Pelodiscus sinensis: one gene and its partner. The protein of the gene in region 2 binds, or shares a complex with, the protein of the main gene of each other region. Links are inferred from orthologs where the notes say so. Each region holds a gene or a part of one and is shown on either strand. Other genes may lie near its edges.

Region 1 (10,672 bases), on a different chromosome or scaffold from region 2:
CCAACTGAAGGAGTTAATCAGTATTAACATACAAATTTCCATCAACTTATATCACTTCATAATTATATATAGGCTATATATAACTAATACAATAAGCAGAAGCCCAGAGTGCATAAATGAAACTGATAGCGTTTTGATTTCTTTTGAGAAGTTAATATGTATCCTAAGTGTCCTGAAGTAGGTCACTATTTATGAAGAGCTGCAAAATTCTATGGTGACTGCATATAGTCTTAAAGAAGGAAATATTTTTTCTATAGCCATGTGAATACAGGTATTGTAGTTTCTGCATGCTACAGCTAAGCACTTCTAGTTTTTCAGCATGGGAAATAGACTCATTAAATCACTTGACAGTGTGTGCAGATCCAATGTAGTGTTGCCAACATTTGTGACTTCACTACAAATTACATGATATTTGATGCTTTTCCTTATAGCAAAGCCCCTGCTTAGTCAAGTGATTATATGAGAATCTCAACTTTCATTTAAAAAACAATGTTTCTAGCCCTCAAGGTTGCAAAGATGCTTGTATGATGAAGGCTTGGAAACCAGAAGGCAAATAATCACCCCTCTTCCAAATATGTAATTTTAAAAAGCATGGTAGTGGGGGCCTAACTTTTGAGGCTTGCCTGTTGTATACCTCACTGATGTGGCCCCTAACTGAGAAGCAGAAAGACACTCCCTATTCTACAGGCACACCAAAGCCTAGGGGGCCCAGTCTAGTAGATTTTGTGTGCTCCAGCCCCATGGGGAGAGGGACAGCACAAGCTCCAGGCAAGCCAAGGCCGCATCCAGTCCCTGGGTCTGAGATTCCCCACCCCGACCTAGATAATAATAAGATGACAAGTAATAGTAAACATGTATTTGTCAACAAGCAACAAAGCTTGCCTTTTGAGTATTGCCTTTAGAAACTAGTTAGAGGTCCTTGAAGCCATGGTGTATCCTGTCCTTCAAAGGGAGGCTGTAACAAGTCAGCAGGTAGCACGGAGAATTGTGGAGTTGAAACCTAGCTTCATATGGGTATATAAAGTTAATCAAGAAGTGCAGTTAAACCTAGTATTATGGGTACCCATGGCCCCAAACTGGCAGAGATGTAATTTAATTGAATGGGGGGAAAATTCAATGGATTTCTACATTATAAAAATTATGACTGTATTTGCATTGTTTCTGTAATATTTAGTCTGATGCAGTTATGATGACTGTGTATTTCTTCTTTAGCTAGAAACTAATAGTTCATGTTAAGTGCAGGTGCTTCCTTTGTGAGCTATATAAAGTGATGCCGTAACTGCTGCCAAGCACAACCCAGAGACAACAGTCAACTCATCTAAATATTACTATTTGAACAACACAAGTATTAACCGGATTACTCTTAGAATTCTCCTGGCTAAAGGAGGATAAAAATTCCTTTAAAGGTTGTGGGTAAAATATGACCCTTACAGAGAATGAAAGGGTTTGGCCATGTATAGGGCCATTCTACTAGTATGTGGCAAGATGACTCAAGGTAGCTTAGGGTGTGTCTACATGGCAGCGTTATTTTGGAATAACAGACGTTATTCTGAAATAAATTTGCGAGCATCTACACATTTTGAAATAATGGGTGGCTTATTCTGGATTCTGTAAACCTCATTCCACGAGGAATAATACCTCTTTCAAAACAGATATTTTGAAATAGCTGTAGTGTGGACGCTCTACTGCTGCTATTTCAAAATAGCTCCTCCTCCAGGCCATTCAAAGTAATTACTCCCCAGTGCTACTGGGGCTCTAAATTGAGGTAGTGCATCCACATTAAGGGAGCCTGCCTTGGACTAATTTCCTGGCTTCCCTGTAGTGTAGACGTGCTATTTCAAAATAAGCTATTTCGGAGTATCTCTTTCACAATAGCTTATTCAGAAATAAACATGCAGTGTGGATGTACCCTAAATGAGGAAGGATGAACAAGTTTATGTGCTGTGCTACTCCTTACAGATCCTTTAAAAACAAATGGGGGCAAATTCACATGCACCATGCCCTTAAAACTGCTGATGAGAGATTGGAGATATTCCAGAGGACTGGAAGATGGAAAATAGTGTCAGTCCATAAAAAGGAGAACAAAAGCAACTTGGGGAATCATAAACAATCAGTTTAACTTCATGACATTGAAAAATGGAGCAAATAATTAAGCAAACAATTTGCAAACACCTAGATCACCCGGGGAGCCTTAGCCGTGTAGGACAGCAGCAGAACCAGCGAGACATGTCCCCGGGAAGCCCTGGCTGGGTGGGGCAGCAGCGGGGCAGCCGGGCAACCCCATTCTCAGGAATGCCCAGTTGGGTGGGGAAGACGCAGGACTGCTACAATTGAGGAGCTCTCAGGAAAGGGAAGTGCCCTGAGAGGCCAGTGTCAGGGCCCACCCCGATCCAGCAAATTCCCTCCTTTGGGACAGGTCACGTCCTGAGGGTGCCAGACAAGGGAGGTCGAATCTGAATAAAGATTGTAGAAGATTATCAAGATGGGAGGCATTGCAAGTGCTTTGGATGACAGAATTAAAATTCAAAATAATCTACACAAACTGGAGAAATGGTCTGAGGTAAATAGGATTACATCATATATATAGTAGCCCAATGTCTGAGAGTCTGTAACACTGAAATGCTGGGTGTTCCTTTTGGGTGGCCTGAGTTGCATGGAGAGTGTGGGGCCTAAACGGCTGCTTGCTCTCCTGTGGTGCCCTGGCTCAGCAGTGCAGAAGTCAGCCGAGTGCCACGGCAGGAGAGGAAGGGGGGTGGGGCAGTGATGTGCAGCGTGACAGCGGCTCCAGGCCCCGCCCCCTGGCCGTGAACTTCACCACCCCGCCCCCCTTCGCCTCCTGCCATGACGCTCGGCTGACTTCTGCACTGCTCAGCCAGGCCGCCTCGTGAGAGCAAGTGGTGCAAGCGACCGTTTGGGCTCCACATTCCCCATGCAGCACGAGGAGCGCGGAGCCCAAAAGGCCATTTGAGTTTCGCGGTCCCCCAAGTGAGAGGCAGGAGGGGGAGGAGAAGAGAAAGAGAGAGAGGCAGGAGGCGTAGGAGAGCTGAGAGAGAGAGAGACCGGAGGCTCAGGAGAGAAGACTGACATGGAGGAGAGACGTGAAAATCCCATTTTATGATGGGCTAATTGGCTAGTTCAATAAGAACAATTGCAAAGTACTTCACTTTGGAAGGGACAATAAACTGCACATATGGAAAATGAATAGAAAGGAGTACTGTGGAAAGGGATCTAGAGGTTATTGCAAATCAAATATGAGCTAAATATGAGTCAAGAGTGTCACATTGTTGCAAAAAGCAAATATTCTGGGACCTATCAGGAGAACTATGAGCAAGACACAATAAATGATGAGGCTTGAACTGGTGAATTTTGTCCAGTTCTGAATGCCATTTTTTCAGGGGAGATGTGGATAAACTGGAGAAAGTCCACAGGAGAGCAAAAAAAATTATTAGAGTTCTAGAAAACATGACCTATAAAGACTGAAAAAAATGGTTTTGCTTAATCCGAGACAACTGAGGAGACATGAGAACTCTTTTCGTACATAAATGCTGTTACAAGGAGAAAGGTGAAAATTGTTCTCTATAACCTCTGAGAAAGGATAAGAAGCAATGTACTTAAATTGCAGCAAAAGAGGTTTAAATTGGACACGAGGAAAAACTTCCTGTCAAAGTAGTTACTCACTGGAACAACTTGCTTAGGGAGGTCATGGAATCTCTGCCATTGGAGTTTTTAAAGAACAGGTTAGACAGACACCTATAGTCAAGTTGTCACTTATCCTTGCCTTGAATGCAGGGGACTGGACTAGATGACCTATTAGGTCCCTTCTAGGACTTCACCTGTGTGTTTCTATGATGGTTATGCTCCCAAGAGGGAGTCATGTGTTCTTGGACATTAACTATAGAACAGTGGGTTCTTTTGTAAACAAACTGATGCACTAGCTAATCTCTCATCCTAATGCTTTTCTGAGTTCTGTGTTGGAATCCTGTCCTCCTGCTGTAACAGTGAGTCACAGGGAGAGGCAAGATTATTTATGCCCTGTTCCTCCAACTACTGCACTGCAAATGTTGCCCTATATTCATAAAGATGACTTGCCTACTACTGAAATGCAACTATCTCTTAACTCTCCAAGCTATACCAACTACGTAACAATTTTAGGAGTTGAAAACGAAAAGTAATTTTTGAAATTGAAACAAAAAGATAATTATGCAGGCAAAAAATTACCGGTTTGTAGAACCATACCAGTGTTCGACCTTTCTGTGTGCAACTGGTATTCACTGCTGATGGTTTACAGAGAGGCATGAGATATGAGAAAGGTGAAATGAGAAAGAGATGGAGATATGGACAAGAACTAGGGAATAACAAAATAAATGTTAAACCTGGTGCCAGGACAAACATTTTCAAACTTAAGTGATTAAAATTAGGTACATCAGTAAAAGGGGGCTGATTCAAAGATGCTGCTGGTCCAGAGCTCCCAAAGAAATAGACAGGAATTCAGTACCTCTGAAAATCAGGCTACTTTAATAAATGTAGATGCTTATCTTCAGGGCTTGACAAACGGCGACAAAACCTACTCACCAGCTCCACACTGAGCATGCACGAGACCCGCATTGCGCATGCGCGTGCCGCCAGTGAATGGGGCGACTGGCTGAAATCTACTTGCCACGGGCGAGTAGATTCAGTGATTTGTCGAGCCCTGATTATCTTATTATTCATGTACATTATCATAGCACCTATGTGCCTCAATTATGGATCAGGATCCAATGTCCCCTAGGGCATTCAATCCAAGTAATAGAGAGCATTAAATCCAAGTAATAAGGGCAGTATACCAGGTAAGGGTGCATCAGCACAGGAAAGGGATTTGGAGAGTATATGGGTTGAAGGTACTATGTGAGGTAGTACAGAGAAGGATATAAGTGATGGGGATGTAACAAAGCAGGGAAAGTACTGGGAGAGCTATAGGGAAAGTATCAGCAATGGAAATGTATTAGGGTGAAGAAGGTATCGTGAGGGTAGCAAGGAGAGGGCAGTATGGGTAATAAGGTGGTATTGGGAGAGGGATGGGGATGGAGGTGGGGGCAATGTCAGCAGTGAGAATTGTTTCAGGGTAGAAGCATTGGCAGTATTAGGGTGGGAGAGGTATCAGGAGTGATGTCAGGGATGAGGGCAACATTGATGGTGAGGCTGCTTCAGTAATAAAGGGGCTATGTGGGCAGCCTGGGGGCAGTATCAGTAGGGCTGCAGGGAATGAATCAGGGTAGGGGCAATATCAGGAGCAGTATCAGGGATGAGAAGCTGTATTGGGGGAGTTATCAAGGGAGGAAGCGTAAGGATGAGGACTGAGTTGTAAGTGGTAAAAGGGATGGGGGCAGTATCAGAAAAGACATCAGGGATGGCGAGGTGTGAAATCAGCAAGATCAGAAATGGAGTGGCATTAATAGGAGTATTTGGGGTGGGTGTATCAATAGGGCTATCAGGGATGGGGACAGTGTCAGAAGGGGGATCAGGGTGTTAAGAGGAGGGGCTTTGGGAATTGGGACCGTATGGGGAGGGATCAGGAGGGAAATTGGGAGACGAAAGCTGCATTGGCGGGATGGGATTGGGATGGGAGTAAGGATGTTAAATATCCGTTAAATATCCAGGCTGCTGCTGCTTTGAAACTCTGCCTCTGCAGTGTTTCAATGGGGCATCCCACACAGCTGAGCCCCGGGCTCAGCTGATAGAGGCAACAACTGGGGCGACAGACTAGTTGACTGACTGTCCCATTAGCATTTGCTTATGGGATAGTCGACTGGAGACCTAACCCCTGAGGTGGGGTGATGTGCTACTGGGAGGGGGCTGTGGATGAGCGGCTGCGGGGCGGGGAAGGGGTCTGGGTGGGGGCTGGCTGGAAGGGGCGAGGGGCGGGGCTGAGGCTGGCGCGGCGCGCAGGGGGCGGGGGAGTCACAGAGCAGCCGCTGCCACGTCAGGCCCGTTTCCGGCCGCGGCCGGAGCCGAGTCAGCAGCCGCCGACGCGCAGGCCCCGCCCCTCCCCGCATAGCCGGGAGCCGGCGCCCGCCATGGAGACGCGCTACAACCTGAAGAGCCCGGGTGAGCGAGCGAGCGAGCGAGGGGCCGGGGCGGGGTGGCTGGACGGGAGCCGGCGGCCTCCCTCCAGGCCCCGGGTGCAGGCCGCGGCGGCCCGGGAGGAGCGGGCCGGAAGCCACCCGCCGGGACCGGGCCTGCCGGCGCCTCGGCCACAGGGCGATGAGGCCGGTTCGTCTCCCGGCCCGCGGGGCGAGCCCGTTCCCGAGCGCGGGGGCATGGCCGAACCTCCCTCCTCTGTCGCCCTCCTCGCCAGTGGCAGAGCCTGTGCGCCTGGGCCCCCTCTCCCCGGCCCTCCTCTTCCCCTGCCGGGGTCACCCCTGGGCTGGGGGCTTTGCCCCCACTCCCCGCGTAGCAGGGGCTCTGTTCTTCTCCCTGCACTGCAGGGCCCCGTTCTCCTGCCTGGTCCCTTCGTGCCAGGGCCCTGAGTCTCCCCCCATGCCAGGGGCGCTGTTTCCCCAACTTTTCCTCGCCAGTATCTCCCGTTCTTTATGCCAGTGGCGCTCAGCCTTTCCAGACTGCTGTACCCCTTGTGGGCATCTCATTTGACTTGCATGCCCCCGGGTTTCATCTCATTTAAAAACTGCTTGCTTACCAAATCAGGCATGACAAATACAAACGGGTCACAGCACACTGTTCTGGGGGAATTCCATACCTTTTCATTTGTATTGTATAACTATAAAATCAAATGGATTATGAATGTATGCACATTTCAGCATAAAATATAAGTGGTCAAGGGTTGCACTTTATTTTGGAGGGGAAGCAGGGTCTGGGATAGAGGTTGAGTGCAGAAGAGAGTGAAGAGTAAGGATGTTAAATAACGATTAATTTACTAGTTGAGAAGTCGATGGAATTTCCATCAACTAATTCACTAGTCGATAGGCACTTCCAATTTTGAAATGCACAAGAGCCCCTTGTACATTTCAAAGGAGGAATGCGGACCTCTGCATGTAGCCTGGGGCCAGCGGGCAGTCCCGCTGACTCAGGGCTCCATGCTGGCACTTCCACTTTGGGGCTCTTGGCGCGTTTCAAAGCGGAAGTACCCTCATGGAGCCCAGGATCAGCTGGGGACTCCCCAGCTGATTCCGGGTTCCGTGGAAATGCTTCAGGGAGCCTGGGGTCAGCTAGAGAGCCCTTGTGGCATTTCAAAGGGGCAGCGCTGTATAGCTGATCCTGGTTTCTGTGCAATGCTGCCCCCTTTGAAACACTGCATTTCAAAGCGGCAGCACTACACTGAGCCCATGGTCAGATCTGTGCAGCGCTGCCCCCTTTGAAATGCTGCCACAGTGTTCAAAGCATGGAGCCTGGGTTATGGGCTCCGTGTGGTGCTGCCGCTTTGAAATAACCCCTGTTCCCGCCTCCCCCCCTCCCGTTTGCTGCCTCTGTCTGATAGAGGCAGCAAGTGGAAGGGGGGGGGAGAGGAATCAACTAGTCGACTGGCCTATCAGATAAGTATTTGCTTATCAGAGAGTTGACTAGTCCTTAACATCCTTAGCTCAGAGTAGGGGATTGAGGTGTAGGAATGTTTGTTGGGTCTGGGAGGAATTTGGATGAAGGAGGGAGTTGTGACTTGGGGCAGAAGATTGGGTGCAGCAGAGGATTCTGGCCTGTGAGAAGAGTGTAAGTGGGGTTTCAGGGTCTTGGAGGCAATTGTGACCTGGGGCAGAAAGGGTGCCTATGGTTTGGGTCATGATCTGGGGCAGGGAGTTTGAGTACAGGAGAGGGTGAACTACCATGTGTAGGTTCTGGCTGGGAGGCACTTACCTGGTCTGTGCCCAGTCAGCTACCTGCAGGACTCTCAGATATCCCCCTGCCTGCTGCAGCTCAAAGCAGCTGACTGCTAGTGCCATGTGCCTCTCCACACTATGTACCTTGCGGGGAGCCTTTGTGTGCTGCCTCTGCCACCAGCACAATCCTTGCAGCTCCCGTTGGCCAGTTATCGACCAATGAGAGTGTGGAGGATTGTTCTGCTGGCGGGGGCAGCATGCGAGATCTTCACCCGCGTTCAAGCAGTCTGGGGCTGCAGTAGGCAGGGAGCCTGCCTGAGGGTCCCATTGGGCTGTGGGCCAGATCCAAAGGCTTGTCAAGCCAGACCTGGCCTCTGGGCTGTATCTTGACCACCCCAATGTACTCCCTGGAAGACCCTTGAGTACCTCTGGTTAAAAATCACTGGTTTACACCACCATCTCTCTTTCTTACTCTCTTAAAATAAAAAAAAGATAAGAGTACTTTTCTTCCCTCCAGATTGGATGGTACTATCTCACCCCAACCCGAGGGGGAGGGCATGAGGAATTACATGCACCCAAACACTGTAGATGGAAGGAGTTGGCCAGCAGCTGGCAGGAGGGATCCCCTCACCAATGTCGCCAACAGTGGCAGGGGGAAGTAGAACAGGATGGCCTCAGTTGTTTTGCCCTCCTGGTGTGCTGCTTGGGTATGAGTGAGTATGTGAGAGTGAGACCTCTGCTACTGGCCTCAGACCCTCTAGACCTTGGGACTGTCTCTGTTCAGGAAGAGGCTGATGCAGGGACAGGAAGAGTGGGGGATCATGTGGCTGGAGACCCCGCCCTTGAGGGCCCCCTCATAGGTCACTTCTGCCCCAACCAGGAAGCAGGATTGGAGTAAAGGACAGAGGGGGGAAGATATGGATGTAAAAATAACAGCACCCCCGTTCACTAACTGTGTAACCAATTGAAATTCAGTGGGTTACACAGTTAAATGTTCTGCAGGCTCTCAGAGGCTGCTGGCCCTGCGAGCTGAGAGTTAATCAGTAATGTTAACTGATAAGCTAAATTCTTACATCCCTAGAGAAAGATCCTTTCTCTCTCTCTCTCTCTCTCTCTGTAATTGCCTCTGTAAACTCAATTGTTTACTGAGTATCCATCTTGCAGGAGGGAGGGCAATTAGTTTTCTTTGGGATGTCAATGTGTTAAACTCTATTGGGTGGATGAGCAGGACTATTGTAATTCTGTAATGTGTTAGTGGATGGCATAAACAGATTCTGATGACTGCTGTCCATCTTGATTGTCCCCAAAATTGTACCCGGTGGTGTAAAGGGCAACATGGTCACAGCTGTCCCTCAATTTCCTTCTGGTGCCCATGGCAGTGAGATGTAATGAGTGGTGCCAGTCCTTGTGCTGCCAGTCTGTTCTACAAAATGTCACAGTTCATATTCTAATGGGCAATGCATCTTCATTATACTGTTTAAAGGAGCAATGAGATACATGATCATCACCTGACATGGAAGTAACGAGCAGGTAACGGACATGATGTAATCAAAATGGGGTACCCTCAAATCACTCCTTATGTTTGGGAGTCAGAAATAACCTAGCAGACAAACCATCACCAGTGATGTGTGAAATTCCATTATTGAATTGGTAGCAAAGGCAGGGGACACATGCCCAGGATCATTGCAAGAGGCCTTTCTCATACTATGGGATCAAGGACCCATGTACGTATTTATCCTTTGATTCCAAAAGGCACGTGCAAAGTTAGACAGGATGTAGCTACACTGATTCTACAGGTTGAACCTCTCTAGTTCGGTATCCTTGAGACCTGAGCAGTGCTGAATCAGAGAATTTGCTGGACCATGGGAGGTCAATATTGTCTAGCAGCATTACCAACATTTTCACTGCTTACTAGGCTCTTAGAAAAACTCAAAACAACAAATTGTCTTGCAGCACCTTAGAGACTAACAAAAATGTAGATGATATGAGTTTGAAGACATTTAAGGGTAAATTAGAGCTAACTACTACCAGTACAGAGTACTGAGAACCAGGACTGGTGGCTGTAAACATATTTTGTGGGACCATGGGAATGTTGGCCACACCCATAAGTGGACATCCAGCTAACTAAAATCATGCTGGACCATGGATGTTGCCGGATCAGAGAATGCTTGACTAAAGTGGTTCAACCTGTATTTGCATTAAATTGGCAAAGACCATTTTGGCCGACTGTTCTCAGAATATCTCAGAGGGGTACTTCTAAAAACTTAAAACAACGAATAGTCTAGTAGCACCTTAAAGACTAACTAAACATGTAGATGGTGGTATGGGCTTTTGTGGGCAAAACCCATTTATTCAGATGACCTGGAGTATTAATAGTCCAGATCCAAGAATAAATAAGGGAGGGGAAGAGAAGGAGGGGGGAAGAGTGAATAGATTGTTCAAGTTACAAGAGGCTGATAAGAACAATTAGAACCTCCATTGTTTGTTTGGTTGGTTAATTCATTAGGATGTGGAAGGTAATGTGCGCCCAGCCAATATTTCTGTTCATTGCAATCTGATAACTTCATTTACAAGTTTAATTTTTAAGTCCCAACCCTTCCCTGTGTATTTTTGGCTTGTGGAATTGGTCTGAAACAACACAATGAATTGGAGATCCACTAATGAGTGACCAGGCATGTTAAAGTGTTCTCCAACAGGTTTATGTGTGTTGCCTTTTTGGATATCTGATTTGTGTCCATTAATTCTTTCCCATAGAGACTGTCCACTTTGGCTAATATACATGGCAGTTGGGCGTTGCTGGCATTTGATGGCATACATCACAGTAGTGACTGTGCAGTTAAATGAGCCCCTGATGTTGTTGGGTCCAG
Region 2 (10,292 bases):
CCAGAAAAGAGCTACAGGAATGATGAAAGGTCTAGAAAACATGACCTATGTGGGAAGATTGAGAGAAGTGGGCTTGTTTAGTCCGGAAAGGAGAAGACGGAGAGGGGACATGCTAGCAGTTTTCAAGTACCTAAAAGGGTGTTATTAGGAGGGAGAAATATTATTCTCCTTAACCTCTGAGGATAGAGCAAGAAGCAATGGGCTTAAATCGCAGCAAAGGGGTTTAAGTTGGACATTAGGAAAATTCCTGTCAGGGTGGTTGAACTCTGGAATACATTGCCTAGGGAGGTTGTGAAATCTGCATCATTGGAGATTTTAAAGAGCAGATCGGATAAACACCTGTCAGGGATGGTCTCGATGGTGCTTAGTTCTGCTGAGAGTGCAAGGGACTGGATTTGACGACCTCTCGAAGTCCTGTCCCCTCCTACGAGTCTGTGAAAACTCAGCTTCTTATTTATGCGAGCGTTACCTTCTCCATCACAATCTGTAGGACATCCATGCACCCTGGTACTTTTGTAAATGAAATTGGCCTTTAATGTGGGAACCACGTGTGACGGCGCGTCGGGGTTCCTCCGATCCTGCAGCCCCGGAGCAGCAAGAACAGACTCCATCAGCCAGTAGAATAGAGGGGTTTAGTGCTTCTCCCGGATACAGCCCGGCACAGATGTGACGTGGCTACAGGAGTCAGGGCCAGGATGCCTCAGGCTTATCGGAGAACAGCTGCCGGCGGGAGCGCAGCACCTCTCGGATCTCGGCCTGCTGGGCCAGGGTGAGCCGGTCCGAGAGGGAAATTGACTCCAGCAAAGAGTCCTCTCCGGTCCCAGGGAACAGACCCACCAGGGGGTCCTCCCCCTGCTCCTCCCAGGGGTTGCACACGGCCAGCACCAAGTTCTCCCTGTCCCAGTACGGCTTCATCATGTTAACATGATACACCCGCTGGCTGCACATCCGGCCCGTCAGCTCCACCACATAGTTCATCTCGTTCAGCTGCTTAACGACCCTGACGGGGCCGTCCCAGGCGGCTTGCAGCTTATTCTTCCGCATGGGGATTAGGACCATCACCTGGTCCCCGGAAGCGTAGGCGCGGGCCCGTGCATTGCGGTCGTCCCAGACCTTCCGCTTCCTCTGGGCCCTGCTCAGGGTCTCTCTGGCCAGGCCCATCAGCTCAGCGAGTCTTTCCCGGAAGGCCAGGGTGTTTTCCACCACCGACTCGCCCTCGGGAGAGGCCTTTCCCTCCCACTCATCTCTTAGTAAGTCCAGGGGTCCCCTCACCCGCCTCCTGTGACGGGATGCCCCCTCCCCGCACTGAAGCCCCCAGGGTGCAAGCCCTGTTTGGGGCCTCGAGCGCAGAGCACCGGTGGTGTGCCGGGTGCTCCCACGCCGCTGGCAAACCCGGACACCACGGTGAGCAGTGATGCGAGCGTTGCTGGGGGGGGGGTGAGCTGGGGGACCCCGGGTCAGGGGTGGATGGGGGAGAGGAAGTAGCCCAGGGCACAACCAGAAGGGTTGGTGGGCTGGCGCGTTTCAGCTAGGCGCCCCGTCAGCTGGACCAGATCACGGAGGATCCGTGTCCTTAGCGCCCATGGCTGGATCCCGTGAGTGATGACGGGTCCAAGCCCCCCTCCCTCTCCGACCTGGAGAGCATTGGATGCTTCGTCCGGCACCTACAACGTAGGACACTGGACTCGAGTTGCACCTGAGCGAGGGCGTGGGGGAATCAGCAGTGGCCGAAGGGGGACTGCCCCAAGAGGGCGGGGCGCAGCCCCACCCTGGACACGGTCACAAGGTGGTGGAGAACGTGGGCGCTAGAGGAATCCCTCCCCGAGCAGAAAAGGGGGGAGTGGACCATGCATTGTTTGTTCCCCGTTAGAAGCAAAGAGGGGAGGCGAGCCGCCGGAGGCGCCGACCCCAAGCGGCCGTCCAGAAGATGGAGCCGGTCCAGGTTCTGGAGTGGATTAAGGAGACACAAAGGCAAAGCCAGCAACAACAGACGCTACTGATCCAGCAGCTGTTGTTGCAACACCAGGAATAGCAGTGGCAGCTGGTAAGAGAACTAGCGGAACAATTCAAGAGTCAGCAGGACCAGTGGATGCGCCAGACCCGGCCCTCCCCGGGCCAAGGCGAGAAGGGGAATGAAGACGACGGCAGTGCACCGCGATTGACAGTCAGGTTGACTAAGATGGGACCAACGGGCGACCCAGAGGTGTACTTGACTACGTTTGAAAGGCTCGTCACCGCGGCCCGATGGCCAGAGGCCCATTGGGCCACGATACTGGCCCCCTACGTAACCGGACCGGCGCAATTGGCCTACCGCAGCTTAAGCGACCGGGAAGCCTTACATTATTACAAACTGAAGGAAGCCATATTGGACCAAATGGGCATTCCGCCCGAAACATACCGACAGAAGTTTAGAGGCGAATGATACAGCGTCGGGACGCGGCCTCACGTGACGGCCCAGCGACTCGAGCCGCTTGGCGTTGGCTGGATCCCGAACAACGTACGGGGCCACAAGTGGCCGAGCTCGTCGTGTTGGAGCAATTTGTAAATATTTTTCCCAGCGGCGGACAGCGCTGGGTGAGGCGGCACCACCCCTCTACCCTGAGCGAGGCCGTGGAGTTAATGAATGACTACGAGGCCGACGAGTTGGTCGAGGGCACGAGCCGGGGGGAAAGGTCTACCCCTGCTGCGCGAGGAGAACCGGCCCGGGGGTTCCAACCCCAGGGAAGCCCCGAGGTGGACGGCAGACGTGGGGCCGGGAAAGGGGGGGCACTGAGGCCGTTAGCTCCCCCTCCCCCGGGAAATACCCCGAGAAAAGCCGGGCTGCCTGGCCGAACGGGGAGCTCCTGGGGCACCTCCCTGTACGTGAACAGCAGGTGCGGTAGGTACTTGTCCCAGTCCTGCAGGTGCTGGTGCATAAAGGTCCTTGGCATCTGCTTCTGAGTCCCACCGAATCTCTCCACCAGCCCGTTGGTCTGGGGGTGATATGCCGAGGCCCAGGTGTGCTGGACCTTGCACTTCTCCCAGGGTCGACATGAAGATCCTTGGTCCGTGAGGACCTCCCGGGGGAACCCCACCCTGCTGAAAATGGTCGGCAGTGTGTCTGCCGCCGTGTCTGCCTCGATGGAGGGCAGGGCCACGGCCTCGGGGTAGCAGGTGGCGAAGTCCACCACCTCCAAGACGTATTTCTTCCCCGTCCGGGTCGCTCTGCTGAGGGTTCCCACAATGTCCATCACCCCCTTCTGGAAAGGCTCCTCTATATGGGTAGGGGCCTCAAAGCAGCCATTCCCGGTACAGGAATCTCTGCTCCCACAGGAACCGCTCCTGGCAATCTCCCCAGGTCAGCCCAGTCCCTCAAGGTCCGCAAGGAGGGATCTGCCTGGACTTCAGCAGCTGGGGCAGGGACAGGGACCTGTTCCCCCCCACTACTTGGGTCCGGAGTCCCAGCTCGGCCGGGCTTCGTGTCTGCTGGGGTGGGGGCCCGTGCCCCCTGCTGGGAGCCCTCCCCTGGGTCAGGATCACCAGCCCCTCACTGGCTCTGGCTACAGGTGGTGACCAGGGCCCTGTGGGGTCCGTCTGGCCACTCCTCTAGGTCCCCCCCATCAGCACCTCCGTGGGTAAGTGCCGGTGCACCCCCACTTCGTTGGGGCCCTCCTTAGCCCCCCATTTCAGATGCACCCGGGCTGTGGGCACCTTAATTGGAGTCCTGTCTATGCCCCTACAGGAGTCTGGGCCAGGATGCCTCAGCCCCCTTGAGATGGGTCCCTGGGCCCCTCGATTCCAGACCCCTCCTTAGACTGGTTCCTTCATGATTCCAGCCCCACACTGCCCCTTCCCCCAACACTCACTTCCTAGTTCCCTCACTGCCCTCAACCAGTTGGGTCTTAGGCAGCCCCCCTGCTGGGAAGTGCTCTGGCCACCGGCCAGTAGGGGTCACTCACAGCCCAAGCACAGGGACCAGTAAGGTACTGACACTACATCACACCGTGTCCAAGGAAGTCTGGGATCAAGGAACCAAGGACAGCCTCAGGCCTGGTCTACACATAGCAATTCACTCCACCCTGCTATGTTGCTCAGGGCTGTGAAGAAGGCACATCCTGTCCAGGGGATGTCATTTAATTAGGCAGACCTAGCCCCTGGTGTAGGCATGGCTAGATTAAGGGAAGAATTCTTTTGTCGGCCTAGCTGCCATCTCCTGGAGAGGTGGATTAACTGCACCATAGAAAACACCCGTCTGACACAGAAGCGTCGACACGTTGCGATGCGGCTGTAGCGTAGACAAACCCTCAGAGCTGGTGACAGGACGGTGCTGTATCCCAATGTCAGTAGGATCTGCCAGGGGCTCTGTGCACATGTAGAGGTTACAGGAGATCCCCCCCCATCACTTAGGCTGCACCCCTAGCAGGGGTTCCACCCCTGTGGCCGAGGCCTGGCCCCCTTGCCTTATGCCCCTCCCCATGGCTTTCTCCATCAGCGTCCCCTCTCCATCACCTCCCACTGAGGATGGGCCCCATAAACCCCCAGGCTGTGTCTACACTGGGCCACTTATTCCGGAAAATCAGCCGATTTTCCGGAATGAGCTGTCTACACTGGCCCTTGAATTTCCGGAAAAGCAACGACGCTCTACTGTACAAAATCAGCCGCTATTCCGGAAAACCTATTCTGCTCCCGCTCGGGCATAAGTCCTTATTCCGGAACACTGTTCCGGAAAAGGGCCAGTGTAGACAGCCCAGTAGTCTTTTCTGGAAAAAAGCCCCGATCGCAAAAATGAAGCTCGGGGCTCTTTTCCGGAAAAGCAGCCTGCCAATGTAGACGCTCCTTTTCCGGAAATACTTATAACGAAAACTATTCTGTTTTAAGCATTTCCGGAAATTCATGCCAGTGTAGACAGAGCCTGCCATTGTGTGGGTCAGCCCCCCTGAGTGGCCCTATGCAGCTTGGCTCCACCTAGCCCCACCCCTGCGCCTGCCACATGGCCTAGGTCCGACTGAAGCCCTGTGGATCATGTGACTCCAGTTTAACCAATCAGCTTGGCTCCCAAAGTTGGCTACAATTTATCTTCCTTCCCTCTTTCAATGCTGCCATCTCTGGGCTGCTCTTGCCCTTTAAGAGCCGGGCGTGACGTCATCATCCAGGCGGCCCTCGCCTTCCTGATTGGCTCGGGCGAGTGCTGACTCGGACCAATCCGTCCTCGCCAGATGCCAGCCCCGTCCCAGCCCCACGCCGGCCTCGCTTCCGAGGGCCCTTCCCCGGAGACTGACCAATGAGGAGCTAGATCAGAGGATTGGCACAGGCGCGGCCCAATGGCGGAGCTGGCTGCGGCGGGCAGGGCGGGCCCGCGCGAGGCGGCAGGCAGGAGGGCGGAAGCGCGGTGCGGGAGCGCGGGGAAGATGGCGGAGGCGCGGCCGGGGCTGCTCCTGCTGCTGGCGCTGCTGGCGCCGGGGCGGCCGCTGCCCGGAGCCGCCGGGAGCCTCAACCTGCAGGAGCTCAGCGAGCTCAAGTACGGGATCGAGATCGCCGCCGAGCCGGTGCTGGCCGGGCAGGTGCGTGGGGGGGGGCGCGTCGGGGGGGGCAGGTGCGTGGGGGGGGGCGGGCAGGTGCGTGGGGGGGCGCGTCGAGGGGGGGCCGGGCAGGTGCGTGGGGGGGCGCATCGGGGGGGGGCAGGTGCGTGGGGGAGGGGCCTGGCAGGTGCGTGGGGGCAGGTGCGTGGGGGAGGGGCCTGGCAGGTGCGTGGGGGGGGTCTGTCGGGGGGGGGCCTGGAAGGTGTGTGGGGGGCAGGTTCGTGGGGGGGCGCGTCGGGGGGGCATGGCAGGTGCTTGGGGGGCAGGTGGGTGGGGGAGGGGCCTGGCAGGTGCGTGGGGGGGCCCGTCGGGGGGGGGGCTGGAAGGTGTGTGGGGGGCAGGTGCGTGGGGGAGGGGCCTGGCAGGTGCGTGGGGGGCAGGTGCTTGGGGGGGCGCATTGGGGGGGCAAGTATGTGCAGGTCGGTCTGGGAGGTGCATGTTGGGGGGGTAAGTGAGGGGGCGGGGGGCAGAGGTCCCAGAGTGGGAGGTGAGAGGTCTGGCCAGGGGGGGTGCTGGAGGGGAGGGGCCCCACAGGTATGTGTAGGGACTGAACCGGCACGGGGGCAGTTAGCTGGGGAAAGTGGGGGCAGGGCCAGTGTTTCTGTGGGGGTTGGTCTGGGGCAGAGGGAGCGAGCGGATGGGGGGTCCTAGGAGCTGGCATTGGTTGGCAGGGTCAGGGTAAGACTGGAGCGAGAGGGGGGCTGGGGTAGGTAGGTGCCAGGGGCCAAGCCCATGTGGAAACTCCCTTTCAGCCCATCTCCCCCATCCTGGGGCCACGTCCGACCTGGTGCCTGTGCAAACACATCCCCTTTACTTGCTCCCAACAACCGACCCCTTCCTGGCATAGGCCGGGGCACCGGGCTCAACAGCACCCTGGCCACTGCCCCGGCGGCCCCCGTGTTTACTTCTCCGGCCGAGTCAGGCGGCTGCGCTTGGGACTTCCACCATCCGAGGCCTCACTTTCGCACGTGCCAACGGGGAGCTGGCGCAGAACGGCCGAGGTGCGGCGTCACGCTGCTGCTCGGCCGTGCGCTTTGAAACAGCGACTTCTGGCGCAGCTGTGTGCACCTTGTTCTGCTTTCTGGCTGCCTGCCTCTCTGGATTAACGCCGCCTGCGGAACGGCGGGGAGGGTGGCCAAAATCTGCTGAAACCGCAGTCGCTTTCTAGCACCTGATTCTTCTCCACGATTCTGGCCTGGGGGAGGCTTAGCTAAAAGCAGAAGTTTGGGAAGTTGGCTTGTGTTTGCATCCGGAGAGCGCCTGCCAGCTGCTGCCCGACATGCTGGCTCGGGCACTTTGTGCTTTGTAAAGGCGAGAGCCTGCTCTTGTGCACATTCAGCATCACGGTGTAAATTCGGAGAGGGGCCCTGCGGCCCTGGGCAAGTCGTTTAGGCCTCATCTAAACAAGCAGGTTGTGCAGCGGTTTGGCTAAATGAGACCGGTATTGAGGAAGTGTTACCCATCATCCCCAGCGTGGACGCTGTCTTCTGACAGTGGCCAAGAGGGAGCAAACAGAACAGGGAATCATCAAGTGATCCCTCCTCTGTCGCCCAGTTTCAGCCTCTGACAAACAGCGGCTCTTTTTGGAACCCTGTTAAAGTCCTGGCTTTCACAACATCCTCTGGCAGGGAGTTCCACAGGTCGACTGTGGGCTACATGAAGAAAAACGTCCTTTGGTTTGTTTAAAACCTACGACCTATTCATTTCATTTGGTGACCCCCTCGTTCTGATGTTAAAAGCCAGTTTGGCGCTCTGCCCCCTAGGCGATGCTGCCTGTCAGAACTGACGCGCTCAGCCCTAGAGTTGCCGTATCGCCGAGCCAAGGTCACGAAGCCGGCGCCAGCTCCCTCGCAGCTTGCTCTGGTCTAGCTTGCGTCCCTGAAGAGCGGGTGGAAGCCACTCTGCCGTAAGCGGCTCAGAAACTGAGACGGCTGCCCCCCCATGGGGATGCACTGGTTTCCATGGGATCCGGGCACAGCTGCAGTGAAAGCCATTCCCGCTGGTGCCTGGGCGAATTGTGGAGCAGAACCGGTTTCCAACCGGGGTTGGGCAGGATTTGGGTTTTGACGAGTATCTCTCTTCTGATTGGCGTGGGGTGAGCAGCAGACTTGGCTTCCAATCCCAGCCCTGCCACTGCCTCGGCGGCCTTGGTCATGTCACCTCACTGTGCCTTAGTTCCCTAGCTGCGTGATGCCGGACGCCTGGTATGGCAGGAACAGGAGGAAGCCAGAGCATCTAGCCACCAGGCTGGCACCTTCCTGCTCCCTCAGACCTCTTGGCCCTGTTCTCCTTCGCTGACGCCCCACCTCCGCCCCCTAGAGCCAGCCGGAGGACGTGGTGGTCGTGGCGTCCAAGTACAAGCAGAAGTACGAGTGCCGCCTGCCGACCGCCGCCCTGAGGATCCACCTGGACGCGGAGGAGCAGCCACAGAGTTACCAAGGCCTGGGCATCTCGGATCTGCTGCGGCCCATGGAGGCTGCGCCCTGCCTCGTGAAGGTGACTCCGAGGGATGCTGTGTGCTTGGGGGGGGGGGAGGTGTCTGCAGGCCTGTTGGCCCCCCTGGAAGCGGGCTGGCTCCTGGGGAGGAAGGGGGTAGACAGGATTCCTTCGGGGGGCCCTGGGGAGCTGGCAGCACCTGCTCCCGGCCTCCGGCGGCCTGGCCGTCAGCAGGAAAGCTGTCAGTTGTGAGGTCCGGGCGGACGGAGGAAAGGCCCCCGTGGCACGGAGCCACCGCTGTCTTTGCCGGCCCTCGAGGGGCACACAGCAGCCCCGGCAGCATGGATCTAAGGGGGCTGGGCTGGGGCCGTGGCCAGTGGGGTTCTGGGGGGCGGGGCAGCTCCTGGGCTTTGTGGAATTGACGCGCCGGCTCCTGCCTCCTTCCCAGACCAAGGACTGGTGGACGTACGAGTTCTGCTACGGGAAGCACATCCAGCAGTACCACGTGGAAGGTAACGCTCGCTGTGCCGGGCCCTGCTGGGGGGCAGCGTGGGGGGGGGTGAGTGGGTCCCCCCGCCCCCGGGACACCCTCGGCTGAGAATGTGGCCAGCCCCTCCCTCTGGGGCCTGGTCTGCGCCCGTGGGGCGGCTCGGCTGGCAGATGGGGGAGGCTGCCAATATAAACGCTTGGCAGAGCAAAGAAGCTACGTGGGCGCCGGGGGTGGCAGCGCCCAGGCCTATGGAGACGTGTGACGGGCACGGGGGCCGTGGTCTCTCTGCTGGGGTCACGTAGTGCCCCCGTGGCCTCCTGTGTCAACTCCCCCCAGCTCCCTGGGGCTGCCCTGCCAGCTGGGGGGTCACTGCGTGATCGGCGCGGGCCCCTCTCCTTGGCATCCGCGGTGGCAGCCGAGCGCGGGGGCTGGGGGCAGGGATACTCCGTGTTAGATCTTGGTAGCAAAAGGGGCTCCCCCCACCCCGGACGGGCCCAGCCCTTCCCCTGAACCTGATCTGGGTGGGGTGTTGACCTGGCTCTTGTCCTTGCACTGAGGCAGGGCGATCTGGTGCCCCTCCCCCCCCCCCCCCCCCCCCCGAAGTCTGGGGCTAGCCTGGACTTGGGCCTCTGGCCTGCCCCAGCTGTCCCGCGGCACCGGGGGCCAACAGCACATGGAACACCCGGTCCTGCCCGCCCTCCCTGGGTGTCTCTCCCCGGGGCCTGGCCGTCCTGGAGCTCTAACGGGGGTGGCTGGGGTCTCTTTGCTTCCCAGAGTCGGAGATTAAAGGGGACGTCCTGTACCTGGGCTACTATCAGTCAGCGTTCGACTGGGACAACGAGACGGCCAAGGTTGGTGCGCCGGGGTGGGAGTCCAGAGCTGGCTCAGCGAACGGGGGAGCAGTCTGGCTGGAAGTCCCCACCAATGCGCCCCCCCCCCCTCCCCAGAAGCGGCCCCGTTGGGCAGGGCAGGGCACTGACTGGCTGTGGCAGATTGGCTGCCTCAGTTTCCCCACCTGTCAAATGGGGCTCCTGCCTCCCAGGATGCCGAGCGGGACGGGGGGGGGCTTTGAGACAGGCCTGGGAAGTGGGGGCTCGAACGGCTCTCACCCCGCCCGCCCTTTGCAGGCCTCGAAGCAGCACCGGCTCAAACGCTACCACAGCCAGACCTACGGCAACGGCTCCAGGTGCGACCTGAGCGGGCAGCCCCGAGAAGCCGAGGTCAGGGTAAGCGGGCGGGGGAGGGGCAGGCGGGGGGTGGGGGCAGGTGCCTTGCAGTGCCGGGGGGAGGCGCCGTGTGCCTGACCCCTGCCCCCTCCCCCCTTGGCGGCAGTTCCTGTGCGAGGAGGGCTCCGGGGACTACATCGCCCGCGTGGACGAGCCGCAGTCCTGCTCCTACGTCCTGACCGTGCACACCACCCGCATCTGCCACCACCCCTTCCTGCGCCCGCCCTCCACGGCCACGCCCCAGGCCATCCGCTGCCACCCGGCCCTCAGCCCGGCCCAGTACGTCGACTACGTCCAAGCCCAAGTGTGTGAGTGTCGGGGGGCGGGGGACGACTCGGGTCGAAATCAAGGCTTGTTCCAGCCACCAGAGCCCAACCTGCTGTAGAGCGGGTCCTGGGGGGCCGCCCCGCCACCCTGGGGTGGGCGGGGTCTGGGGGGGCCGCCCCGCCTCTCTGGGGTGGGCGGGGTCTGGGGGGGGCCGCCCGCCTCTCTGGGGTGGGCGGGGTCGGGGGGGGCCGCCCCGCCTCTCTGGGGTGGGCGGGGTCTGGGGGGGGCCGCCCGCCTCTCTGGGGTGGGCGGGGT

Evidence for each region. Proteins that work in one complex are often made in the same cells at the same time.
Region 1: OS9 (region 2) and UBE2J1 share a complex: the UniProt entries of both Homo sapiens proteins name them as parts of the HRD1 complex. The link is inferred for Pelodiscus sinensis from reciprocal best matches to the Homo sapiens genes OS9 and UBE2J1.

Annotation. Positions count from the first base shown.
Region 1 is NC_134713.1:64,155,049-64,165,720, reverse strand, and holds the start of UBE2J1 (ubiquitin-conjugating enzyme E2 J1), read left to right. Parts: upstream 1-5,928; 5' UTR 5,929-6,053; coding exon 6,054-6,084; intron 6,085-7,842; exon of another isoform or gene 7,843-7,921; intron 7,922-10,672. UniProt on the Homo sapiens protein: Catalyzes the covalent attachment of ubiquitin to other proteins. Functions in the selective degradation of misfolded membrane proteins from the endoplasmic reticulum (ERAD) and is essential for cells to recover from ER stress.
Region 2 is NC_134729.1:2,612,529-2,622,820, reverse strand, and holds the start of OS9 (protein OS-9), read left to right. Parts: upstream 1-5,353; 5' UTR 5,354-5,387; coding exon 5,388-5,540; intron 5,541-7,877; coding exon 7,878-8,054; intron 8,055-8,442; coding exon 8,443-8,506; intron 8,507-9,258; coding exon 9,259-9,335; intron 9,336-9,611; coding exon 9,612-9,710; intron 9,711-9,816; coding exon 9,817-10,018; intron 10,019-10,292. UniProt on the Homo sapiens protein: Lectin component of the HRD1 complex, which functions in endoplasmic reticulum (ER) quality control and ER-associated degradation (ERAD).